3 linked regions of the Sus scrofa genome follow. The protein of the gene in region 2 purifies or fractionates together with the protein of the main gene of each other region. This does not show direct contact. Links are inferred from orthologs where the notes say so. Each region holds a gene or a part of one and is shown on either strand. Other genes may lie near its edges.

Evidence for each region.
Region 1: the proteins of SOS1 (region 2) and FRS2 purify together in Homo sapiens (affinity purification with western blotting; 5 studies listed by BioGRID). This does not show direct contact. The link is inferred for Sus scrofa from reciprocal best matches to the Homo sapiens genes SOS1 and FRS2.
Region 3: the proteins of SOS1 (region 2) and PTPN11 purify together in Homo sapiens (affinity purification with western blotting; 4 studies listed by BioGRID and IntAct, with this or other methods). This does not show direct contact. The link is inferred for Sus scrofa from reciprocal best matches to the Homo sapiens genes SOS1 and PTPN11.

The regions. Positions count from the first base shown.
Region 1 is NC_010447.5:33,840,382-33,844,037, forward strand, and holds part of FRS2 (fibroblast growth factor receptor substrate 2), read left to right. Parts: intron 1-1,811; coding exon 1,812-1,903; intron 1,904-3,429; coding exon 3,430-3,616; intron 3,617-3,656. UniProt on the Homo sapiens protein: Adapter protein that links activated FGR and NGF receptors to downstream signaling pathways.
Region 2 is NC_010445.4:101,359,565-101,363,215, forward strand, and holds part of SOS1 (son of sevenless homolog 1), read left to right. Parts: intron 1-287; coding exon 288-406; intron 407-1,567; coding exon 1,568-2,059; 3' UTR 2,060-3,651.
Region 3 is NC_010456.5:39,229,436-39,233,091, reverse strand, and holds part of PTPN11 (tyrosine-protein phosphatase non-receptor type 11), read left to right. Parts: intron 1-3; coding exon 4-100; intron 101-1,095; coding exon 1,096-1,175; intron 1,176-1,296; coding exon 1,297-1,455; intron 1,456-3,320; coding exon 3,321-3,452; intron 3,453-3,656. UniProt on the Homo sapiens protein: Acts downstream of various receptor and cytoplasmic protein tyrosine kinases to participate in the signal transduction from the cell surface to the nucleus. Positively regulates MAPK signal transduction pathway. Dephosphorylates GAB1, ARHGAP35 and EGFR.

The DNA.
Region 1 (3,656 bases), on a different chromosome or scaffold from region 2:
TTGGTAACCATAAGTTTGTCTTCAATGTCTGTGAATCTGTTTCTGTTGTGTAAATAAGTTCATTTGTGTCATGTTTTAGATTCCACATGTAGGTGATATCATGTGGTATTTATCTTTCACTGTCTCACATACTTCACTTAGTATGATCTCTAAGTCCATCCATGTTGCTATGAATGGCATTATTTCATTCCTTTTTATGCCCGAGTAATACTCCATCACACACACACACACACACACACACACACACTCTTTTTTTTTTTTGGTCTTTTTACCATTTCTTGGGCCGCTCCCGCGGCATATGGAGGTTCCCAGGCTAGGGGTCTAATCAGAGCTGTAGCTGCCAGCCCATGCCAGAGCCACAGCTACGCAGAATCCAAGCCGAGTCTGCGACCTACACCACAGCTCATGGCAATGCCAGATCGTTAACCCACTGAGCAAGAGCAGGGATCGAACCCGCAACCTCATGGTTCCTAGTCGGATCCGTTAACCACTGAGCCACAACAGAAACTCCACCCCCACATACTCTTTATCCCTTCATCTGTTGATGGACATTTTGATTGCTTCCATGTCTTGACTATTATCAATAGTGCTGCTATGAACATAGGGGTTCATGTATCTTTTTGAATTGGTTTTATCCAGATATATGCTCAGGAGTGGGGAATGCTGGATCATATAGCAACTCTATTTTTAGTTTTTTGAGGAACCTCCATACTGTTTTCCATGATGTGCTGCGCCAAAATTTACATTGCCACCAACAGTGTAGGAAGGTTCCCTTTTTCCCACACCGTGTCTAGCATTTATTATTTGCGGACTTTTTTTTTTTTTTTTTTTTTGCCACACCAGATTGTGAGAGGCATCATGTCATGCTTTGCATTTTTTCTTGAAAGTAGTGAAGAACCATGAAGAATTTTAAGCAAGTCTTAATCAGATTTATGTTTTAATGTTTAGTAGGTTCTTATGCTTCCTTTCGTCTTCCTTTTTTTCTTCAAATGCTATCACGTCCATTCTGACTTTTTCCCTTGTTTATAAGTGAAGTTTTGAATTTTTCCTTTGTTCACCTGGAGAAATCTTGAACACTTAATGTCACTATAACCTCTTATTTCTAGCCTTCTGTGGGAAAAGATTAGATACACTCTCAGTTTTCCCAGTATTCTCTGTGTTATTGCTTGAATTTTGGGTTGCCTTTCTCTCTAAATGAACTATTGCAGATTTATTTTTGTTTTTTATTAACCAATAAACTCTTGTCTGGTGGGCTACTTAAAGAATACTATAGTGAGTAGTATAAATCAAATACTTACTTACCTAGCCATCCTTTCGGAAATTTATGAAAAGACAGACACAAAATTCCTGATAAGCTATAAAGGGTTAATTCCATGAATGACTTTAATAGTCTTATGTGTGAGGCCTTAAATTGGTTTATTTGAAACAATTTTTGTTTCTTTTTGGCTGCCCCCATGGCATTAGGAAGTTCCCTGGCCAGGGATTGAACCCATGCCACAGCATGACAATGCTGGGTCTTTAACCCAGGGAACCACAGAGGAACTCCTTAGGTAATTCTAAAATAGCCAGACCTTTGCAAATTAAATTGAGATTTCTGTGAAGTCTACCTCACAAAATTATTGTTGTTGTCACTGAGCAAAATTTACCAGCCAATTGGGTGAAATCTAGCTCTAGCCATTTACCTTGTTAGGCTTAACTTTCCTCATCAAAATACTGCAGGGCTTGTATTGGATGATTTCTAAAGTTTTTTTCTGTCTTATGATTTTTTTATCCTACATCTAATAATTTTTTGCAAATTGTCTTTCATGTAGTGCTCACATGGTCTTCTGAAGAAGCCATGGGTAGCTGTTGTAGCTGTCCAGATAAAGACACTGTCCCAGATAACCACCGGAACAAGTTTAAGGTCAGTAAAATTCATTGAGTTGTATTTCTCACTACCTGACAGAATGCTCTTTTACCTCACTTAACATACTTATTACTTCCTTTACGTTTATCTTCAGATCCTTTCATTTTCCTTTTTGTCCATTCTGCCTTTTCTTGTTTTAACACATGATGACAACATTTTCTTACTGGCAGTTGTGAAATCCTCTTTTCTTTTCTTTTTCTTCAGTCTTCCATATCCAATTAGCTATATAATTCTGATAATATTGTCTTTTTTAAAAATCTTTTAACTATTTTTTTAAACTTGGAAGACATTTACATTTATTTTTACTTTCCCGCATCACCGGTCATGGGTATGAGTGGTAAATCTTATATCTCCATCAGAAAAACATAGCATTATTGAGTCCTATGAAGAACTTAATCTCTGGTTACGGTTAAGAGGTCCTGGATTTGGTCCATCAGCCCTCTTTGAAATCATCAATTGATAGTATTGTCCGTAGAATGCCATTTTATGGGTCCTGTCATTCACTCCCAGTCATTGTTTAATGGCGGGGAAATTTCTTAACTGCTTCCAGTCACCTCTGTGATCCATCTGCAGGTGACATCAAATTAATCTTCTTCTTTCATCATTCTAAAACTTTGGTGCTATTGTATTATCACCAAAACTAAATGTTCCATTCCTTACGTATCCAGAGACATTAGTATCTCTCATATTCTCACTTCACTCTGCTCTAAATCATAGTCTCTTGTTCACAATAACCCGGTGTAAGTCACAGTCCTTCATAGCTTTGTGACTTTGGGCAGGTTACATTATCACTAAGTCTTTGTTCATTAGCATGTAACAGAGAAAATTGTATTACCTGTAGTATAGAACTGGTGCGAGTGAAAAAAAAAAAAAGGGATTGGTGTGAGTATTAAATGACAAAAATACAAGGAAAGCACTTTCCCCACTAGGTTCTCCCTAAGCGTTATCTATTCTTCATAGTCTCTGGCCATTTTCTGAAACTCAGCTGTGTAAGGCCTTCCCTTATATGACTCAGTGCCAGTCCTGTCTTGGTCTCTCTGAACACACCTTGTTGTCTCTGCTGTAGCACTGCATCTTCAGAATGTGCCTCTCAACTCCTGACCCATCAACTCTTCCTCTTAATTTTATTTCCTATCTAACTTTAATTATACTCAAAGCCCAGCTAAAGTTCCTTCTCTACGTATGTGAAGTGTTGTTCTCCAACAACCCTCAGCCATAGTTCATCCATTGTACAGCCTCTCTTGCACTCATGTGTAAATTAATCACGTACAGTTTTGTGGTGTTGACTTTGTGTTTGTCTATCTTATCTCCTCAGAGGGAATGTGAGTTTTGTGGATATGAACCGGTTTACACCGCCACACAGTCCATGCCCTGTACACATGGTAGTTGATGATTTAACTAATAGAGGAGCAAATAACTGAACCAATCAGCCACAGTACATTTTCCTGGCCAATTAGTGAAATATTTATAGGACTGTCAAGTGGGAGCATATAGGTTAGCACTAATTAAACCTTCTTTTTTAGGTCATTAATGTGGATGATGATGGAAATGAGTTAGGTTCTGGCATAATGGAACTTACAGACACAGAACTGATTTTATACACACGCAAGCGTGACTCGGTAAAATGGCACTACCTCTGCCTCCGACGCTATGGCTATGATTCAAATCTCTTTTCTTTTGAAAGTGGTCGAAGGTGTCAAACTGGACAAGGTAGGTAGAGCCTTTATTTTTTTTTTTTCTCCAAACATTA
Region 2 (3,651 bases):
TCCAGTAATAGATTATTAACAATGGGAACATTGTTTTGTTTAAGAAGCAGAGTAACAGAGTATTTTAGGCAGCTTTTTTTTCTTGAAAATTCTGCTAAGGATTTCTGCATGCTTTCATAGCATTTTGCTTTAATAAAGGAAATAATATTTGGGTGTTGATGTATTGAACTGCTTTTGATACTTCTGTACATTTCTTTTAATAAATATAAGCAGTTTCCAAGTCTTTTCAGGATTAATAGATGAAATAAAATTCCTGTGAACTTTTCAAAAAATTTAACATCCTACAGGATCTGCTTCAGTATCATCTATAAGCTTAACCAAGAGCACTGATGAAGTGCCTGTCCCCCCTCCTGTTCCTCCACGAAGACGACCAGAATCTGCCCCAGCGGAATCTTCGCCATCTAAGGTAAAGTAGAAAATCTTGTTATCTGGAAACCAGAATCATTATAGTTACATTATAATCAATTGCTTGTGTCTAGTTTTAACTGGATTTGGTTAACAGTATTTGGGCTTTAACAGAGTTTAAACAAGGATTAAATACAGATTTACAGGCAGTAATTTTTATTTCCTTTCTTCTGAAAGCAGTTTTGGGGATGATTTTCAAAACCCTTGTAAATCTAAATTATGGGTACTGTCGCAAAAAAGCAAATTTAACATATAATGTAAGAGTAATGTAGTCTCAGGCAGTTCTTTAAAAACATACAAAAGACAAAGAAGGAGAGAGAGAGGAAAGAGGTCTGAAGCTTTATATGAAACACATTCTGAATGAAACTGTATCTTAGTGCTAAACATTACCTGAGTCCTTAATAGTGAATCTGACATGCTTTTAAATAGGATTTTCATGAAGATTTTGGGTTGGAAGAGACCTTAAAGGCTCATAATAGCTATTTTTTTCTACCTGTTTGAATTTCTGTGTTTGCCACCTGTTAACATGATGCAGTGGTCTCAAAGTGTCCAGAGGTCAGAGCACCTGGGCGAGTCAAGATATTCTTTGCAGAATATCATGAAATGTTAATGTAGTAAGTTTAAAATTGTAAAAATTGGTAGGTAACTTAGGTTAAATCAGAAGTGATCATACATTACTGAGTGATAGGTAAGCAGTAGCAAACTACAAAATTTTACAAAAAATAAGATAAAAACTTTGAGGGGAAAAATTTTCTTTTAATGAATGAATTGCCACAACCTCCAATTTAAAACCTATGGTGGAGTTCCTGTCCTGGCGCGAGGAAATGAATCCAACAAGGAACCATGAGGTTGCGGGTTTGATCCCTGACCTTGCTCAATGGGTTAAGGATCCGGCCTTGCTATGGCTGGTGTAGGCCGGCAGCCACAGCTCCGATTAGACCCCTAGCCTGGGAACCTCCATATGCCACGGGTGTGGCCCTAAAAAGACTAAATTAATTAATTAATTTAATGAAATAAATAATACCTATGGCAGAACTCCCTGATCCACACCTAGAGTTCTTCCAATAGCATGTTTGAAAACCCCAGCTTAATTATTAATATATTCATGGTGCTAAATAAATTTTTAATGCATGTCTTTTTTTTTTTTTTCCATTTATGTTAGATTATGTCTAAGCATTTGGACAGCCCCCCAGCAATTCCTCCTAGGCAACCCACATCAAAAGCCTATTCACCACGATATTCCATATCAGACCGGACCTCTATATCAGACCCTCCTGAAAGCCCTCCCTTACTACCACCACGAGAACCTGTGAGGACACCTGATGTTTTCTCAAGCTCACCACTACATCTCCAACCTCCCCCTTTGGGCAAAAAAAGTGACCATAGTAATGCCTTCTTCCCAAATAGCCCTTCCCCCTTTACACCACCTCCTCCTCAAACACCTTCTCCTCACGGCACCAGAAGGCATCTACCATCACCACCATTGACACAGGAAGTAGACCTTCATTCCATTGCTGGGCCACCTGTTCCTCCACGACAAAGCACTTCTCAACATATCCCCAAACTCCCTCCAAAAACTTACAAAAGGGAGCACACACACCCATCCATGCACAGAGATGGACCACCACTGTTGGAGAACGCCCATTCTTCCTGAACTCCTCTGTACCGGGATGTCCATTTTCTTCACCCCAAATCCATTGCTGGCAATGGATGCACTGAATGTGCCAGCACTGAGGAGTTAAAAATGAGAGCTCCAAACACTAATGACTCTACTTCAAGATGCAGTATAAGACAATGAACTTAACCGAGACAAAATTATAAAATGAAAATGGTGTTTGTTTAGAATATGGAAAGACTGATCTAGAGGAAGTGGACAACTGATTGCACCTGAAAATCAAGTAAAGGGACTTTTTCCAGCCAGTAGGCAGGAGTCCTCTTTTTGTGAAGTGATCTTTCTCATTAAAGGGATGGAAAACACAGTCTAGTGTCCAACAGGCCCACATGATGACAGTTTTTGTAATTCAAAATATTATGCACTTTTTAAAAAATCTTAAACAGGGATCTTCAAACCCTCCTTTGTTTTCCTTTGCTTTTACTCGTCCTACTTTAGAATATTTTCTTAAAAATCATTCAGAGGACTGTGAGGAAAGGCTGTGGTACCTGACTTGTTGGAATCAAGGCCCAGCACTGTACTACAGTCCTGTTTACAGATAATTACAGTGAAATGAATGGGTACCGAGGCTTCACCAAAGAGGTACTTTTTTTTTTTTTAAGAGTAATTATACCAATTTTAAGAGCATTTCCCTACTCACCTTCCCTACACAAACAAAACGTGGTGGTGTTGCCTTCAAACAAGAGAAGTTTTATGTCATTAATACTGACAGAAGAACTTTTTAAAAAATGTAACTGTCGAGTATATGATTTACACTTAGGAGACTGTTAATCTGTGCTAGATTGTCATTTTCCCCCCTTCTCCCACAAAGTTTACTGGTAATCCATGTCATGGCTTGTAGCTGTCCCTCTAACCACTCTGGAAATGCAGTCACCCAGTGTGAAAGGAGCACTTGCTGGGCATCATTGACACCGTTCATGTTTTACTAATAGTTGAGTGATGAGCATATCGAGAATTACCTTGCATTGCCTAAATCATGTGTATATAGTGAATGTTATATAATATACCTGGCAGGTCTGTTTTAATTTAATTGAATAAAGATACAAATACTTTGTTTGGCTGGCATATATTAAATTATTATCTGGATAAAATGGTTGATTCTTATTTCTTTCAGTTCAAACACACAAACACTAAGCATAAAAGCACGTATTGTGGTACGCCTTGGTTTCTAGTTCTAGATGTATGTATTCATCTTAAAGAATGACATTTGGCATGTAGGAAAATATTTGGTTAGAATAGGATGGATATCTTTTAAGCAGAGCTTTGTAAGGTTTTTAATTTCCTAGGCAACATGTATACAGTTTGTTAAAGTTTTATATTAAACATTCTACCTTGCTTGAGGTCTTTGCTCTATCAGAACTGCTCATAATAGAACATCTATCTACATCATTAATAACATAATACAGATTATTCATTAAGCCTATGTACTGATCTTCTGAGTCTAACAAATACTGTGACTGAAATGCATGCTACTTGTTAAAGAGAAAAAGTGTTATTAATCTCCACTATAACATATGTGAAGTGTGCAGTATTCTATCCTTAGAGAGTCATCGGTTCATCAGTATCTGCATGTG
Region 3 (3,656 bases), on a different chromosome or scaffold from region 2:
TAGACACTACAACAACAGGAGTGCAAGCTTCTCTATAGCCGAAAAGAGGGTCAGAGGCAAGAAAATAAAAACAAAAATAGATATAAAAACATCCTGCCCTGTAAGTATCAATGTATTTCTCAATATCAGTCACTTTTGGAGATTTTTTTTTTTTTCAGGGCTGTACCCATGGCATATGTAGGTTCCCAGGCTAGGGGTCAAATTAGAGCTATAGCCGCTGGCCTATGCCACAGTCACAGCAATGCCAGATCCTTAACCCACTGAGCGAGGCCAGGGATCAAACCTATGTCCTGAAGGATATTAGTCAGATTTGTTTCCACTGTGCTGTGATGGGAATTCCACTTTTGGAGATTTTGATTCCCCAAGGCTTGCCATCTCCCAGGGTCTCACCACGATCCTCAGGGGTTCCAGGCTTGTGTCCTTGCTCTGCAGACGTTGGCGCATGTACTTTTGTACAGAATTTAGTCAGTAAATAATTGTCATCAGAATCTTGTCATTTAGATACTGTATTTAATGCTACTTCATTAAAAGAACTTTTTATTATGGAAAGTTTAAAATATATTCAAAAGTAGAGTAGTATAAAGAACCCACGGGTACCCATCACCCAGCTCCAACAATTGTCAACTCATGCCCAGTCTTGATTCATCTATATTCTGTTACACTTTGCTTCTCTCCCTGAATTATATTGAAGCATATCTCAGATATCATTGTTATTTATCTGTACTTTACTCTTCTTTTTTTTTTTTAAAATCCTTTTTGTTTTGAAATGATTTTTAGATTCACACACGAAGTTACAAAGATATGTAGGGGGTTTCCCTTGTACCCTTTACCCAGCTTCTCCCAGTGAAAATGTCTTATCTATCCATAGTGCATTATCAACACCAGGGAATTGACATTACTACTTTAGTCTCCTTAAAGAAAACATTATGAGGCCTCATGTTCAGATTATTGTCATATTCACTTAGAGTTTAGTTTTTGATGCTGTTTAATCATTAAATGAACACAACTTGGACGAAGTTGAGGTTGAACTGATTTGAACTGACCTGCCCTGAGAGGTCTGGGTACTTTTGTGACTATGCTCTCGTTTTCTTCCAGTTGATCATACCAGAGTCGTCTTACATGATGGTGATCCCAATGAGCCTGTTTCAGATTACATCAATGCAAATATCATCATGGTAAACTTGGCTTTTCACAGTGTTTCTGACTTTACCTTGCTAGCCGATTTTTGTATTATAAATCCTTCCTTCCTAAAAGCAGCTTTCAGATGTTTGAAGGATTTTCTTCCTAAATTTCTAGCCTGAATTTGAAACCAAGTGCAACAACTCAAAGCCCAAAAAGAGTTACATTGCCACCCAAGGCTGCCTGCAAAACACGGTGAATGACTTTTGGAGGATGGTATTTCAGGAGAACTCCCGAGTAATTGTCATGACAACAAAAGAAGTGGAGAGAGGAAAGGTATACTACATACTCTGCTTTTTTAAAGTATTGGACATGTCAGGTTGATCATGTTAAGAACTGAATAAACACATTTCACTTTCTCTTACCCTCTGGAAAAAAGGGATCAGGAGAAATTTGGTTATGACATACTTTGGTATAGTTTTCTTTATATTTCTTCTGCTTGGAAGTCATGGAACTTCTTGGGTCTGTGGACTTACAATTTTCTTCAAATGTGAGTAATGTTTACTATGTCTTCAAATATGTACCCTCAACCCACTTTTTCTGGATACCAATTACACGTATATTAGGCTCTTTAAAGTTGTCCTATTGCTCATTGAGACCTGGTTCCCCTCTGTGTTTTGTTTTGGATAAGTTTCTTTTGCTATACATCTTTCAGTTAATCTTTTCTTCTGCAGGGTATAATCTGCTGTTTGTCTTCTCCAGTGAAATTTTCATGCAGACCTTCTGATAATCTCCTCCCTTGGTATTCCCCCGGTGCACAGAAGGAAAACCAGACTCTGGACTGCCTTTGATTCCTGGGCTTTAATTTAAAGCTAAAGTATTAGGGCTTGCAGTTTAGAATTTGTTTGCCAAGGTTTATATCAAGAGTTTGGGAAGCTGGGAGGGGAGCACAGTACTTTGCAGAAGTGTAGTGTCAGCTACGGTGTTAGGAGTTGTGGTTTAATTTGTGTTCTCTTGAGCGACCAGCAGTCCTCAGAATGGATTGACCACTAACCGCATTGATACACTTAATAGTAAGTGTTTATTTGGGATAATAAAAATTGAATCAAATCTGTCAAAGAGGTATTTGGATCTGCAGCATACTAGAGGGAAAGACAAATTCAGAATAATAAATAAAAGACCGCATAAACTGTGCCAAGCAAAAAACTAGCACCATCCATTAATTCTTCTGTCGAACTTTCCTTCTACCATTTTTTTCCCCACTTCATCATCGTGGGGAATGTCTGTAGCTGCTGTCTTATTTCTTGTGTAATAACAGTGAATTTCTCTGTTTTCCCGATGTACAAGGTAGCTTTCTCTTGCTGATGTTTGTGTCTTGGTGGTTGTGGAAAGTGAGTGGTGTGGGTGACCGCTCCCAGGAAAAAACAAGACACAAAAGCGTTCTCTGCCCAGGATACATCACCAAATACATGCAGACTCATCTCTCAGTGAGCGAAATCTCTTCCTTTTTGGCAGCAAGCATGATTCTCTTGGTGCCATGTTTTCCAATCTGCCTGCTCTGAAGCCAGCAGCTATTGCGGGCTTGGCGTTCCCAGGCACCCAGTTATGTGAAGGTGGCATGTGTAGCAGGTATCAAATGGATCTGGATATAGAAAAAGCAGCTGGTTCAGACCCCATATCAGCTGCCTTTCTGTGCTGGAGTTATTCACACTTAGGTTAGATAAGGCACGGAGGCCTCCCACACTGGTGCGGAAAGGAACCAGACAGTCTGGCTCACTGGGCAGCCCATCCACCTCCAGAGTCCCTGCTCGCCTTCCCTGCAGAGTGACTGGCAGATTCCGGAATTCAGAGCTCAGTGGTTGCTAGACAAGCACCCTTGCATGGGGTAGTTCCCCTCTCTCTGCCTCAGGTTCTTTGGGAGAGAAATAAATGAGCACCGGCTCTCCTCTGACTTGTGGCTTAGGGCAGACAGCTCTGCAGTGGTGGCTTTCTCTTCCCACTTCTCCTTGGTTCACCATGCACCGACTTTTCTTATTTGAACTCTTCTTTCCTTTTCTTTGAAAATCCAACAGTTAGATACCAGATAGGCTCTCTTCCAAGTTAGCGGTCGTTAAGACTCAAACATTGGTGGTTCTCTGCTGCTTTAGGCTTTCATACCAGAGTTCACAGAGATTAACTGTCTTTTCTCTGATCCCTTCCAGAGTAAATGTGTCAAATACTGGCCTGATGAGTATGCGCTAAAAGAATACGGGGTCATGCGCGTTAGGAACGTCAAAGAAAGTGCCGCTCATGACTATACATTAAGAGAACTTAAACTTTCAAAGGTCGGACAAGTAAGTATATTGTCGTACTTTAGAGACTTTGTAACTGCTAATCCAGTGTGGTGCAGTTACTTCTGTTGGCAAACATTCAGGCATTCCTTCACTTATTGATTGACGTCCATTTGTTGGGTACCTTTTATGTACCAGGGACCGTGGAGGTACTACTGGTACATCGCAAACCAGATCAGCGCCATCCCTGCACCCACAGAGCCGAGG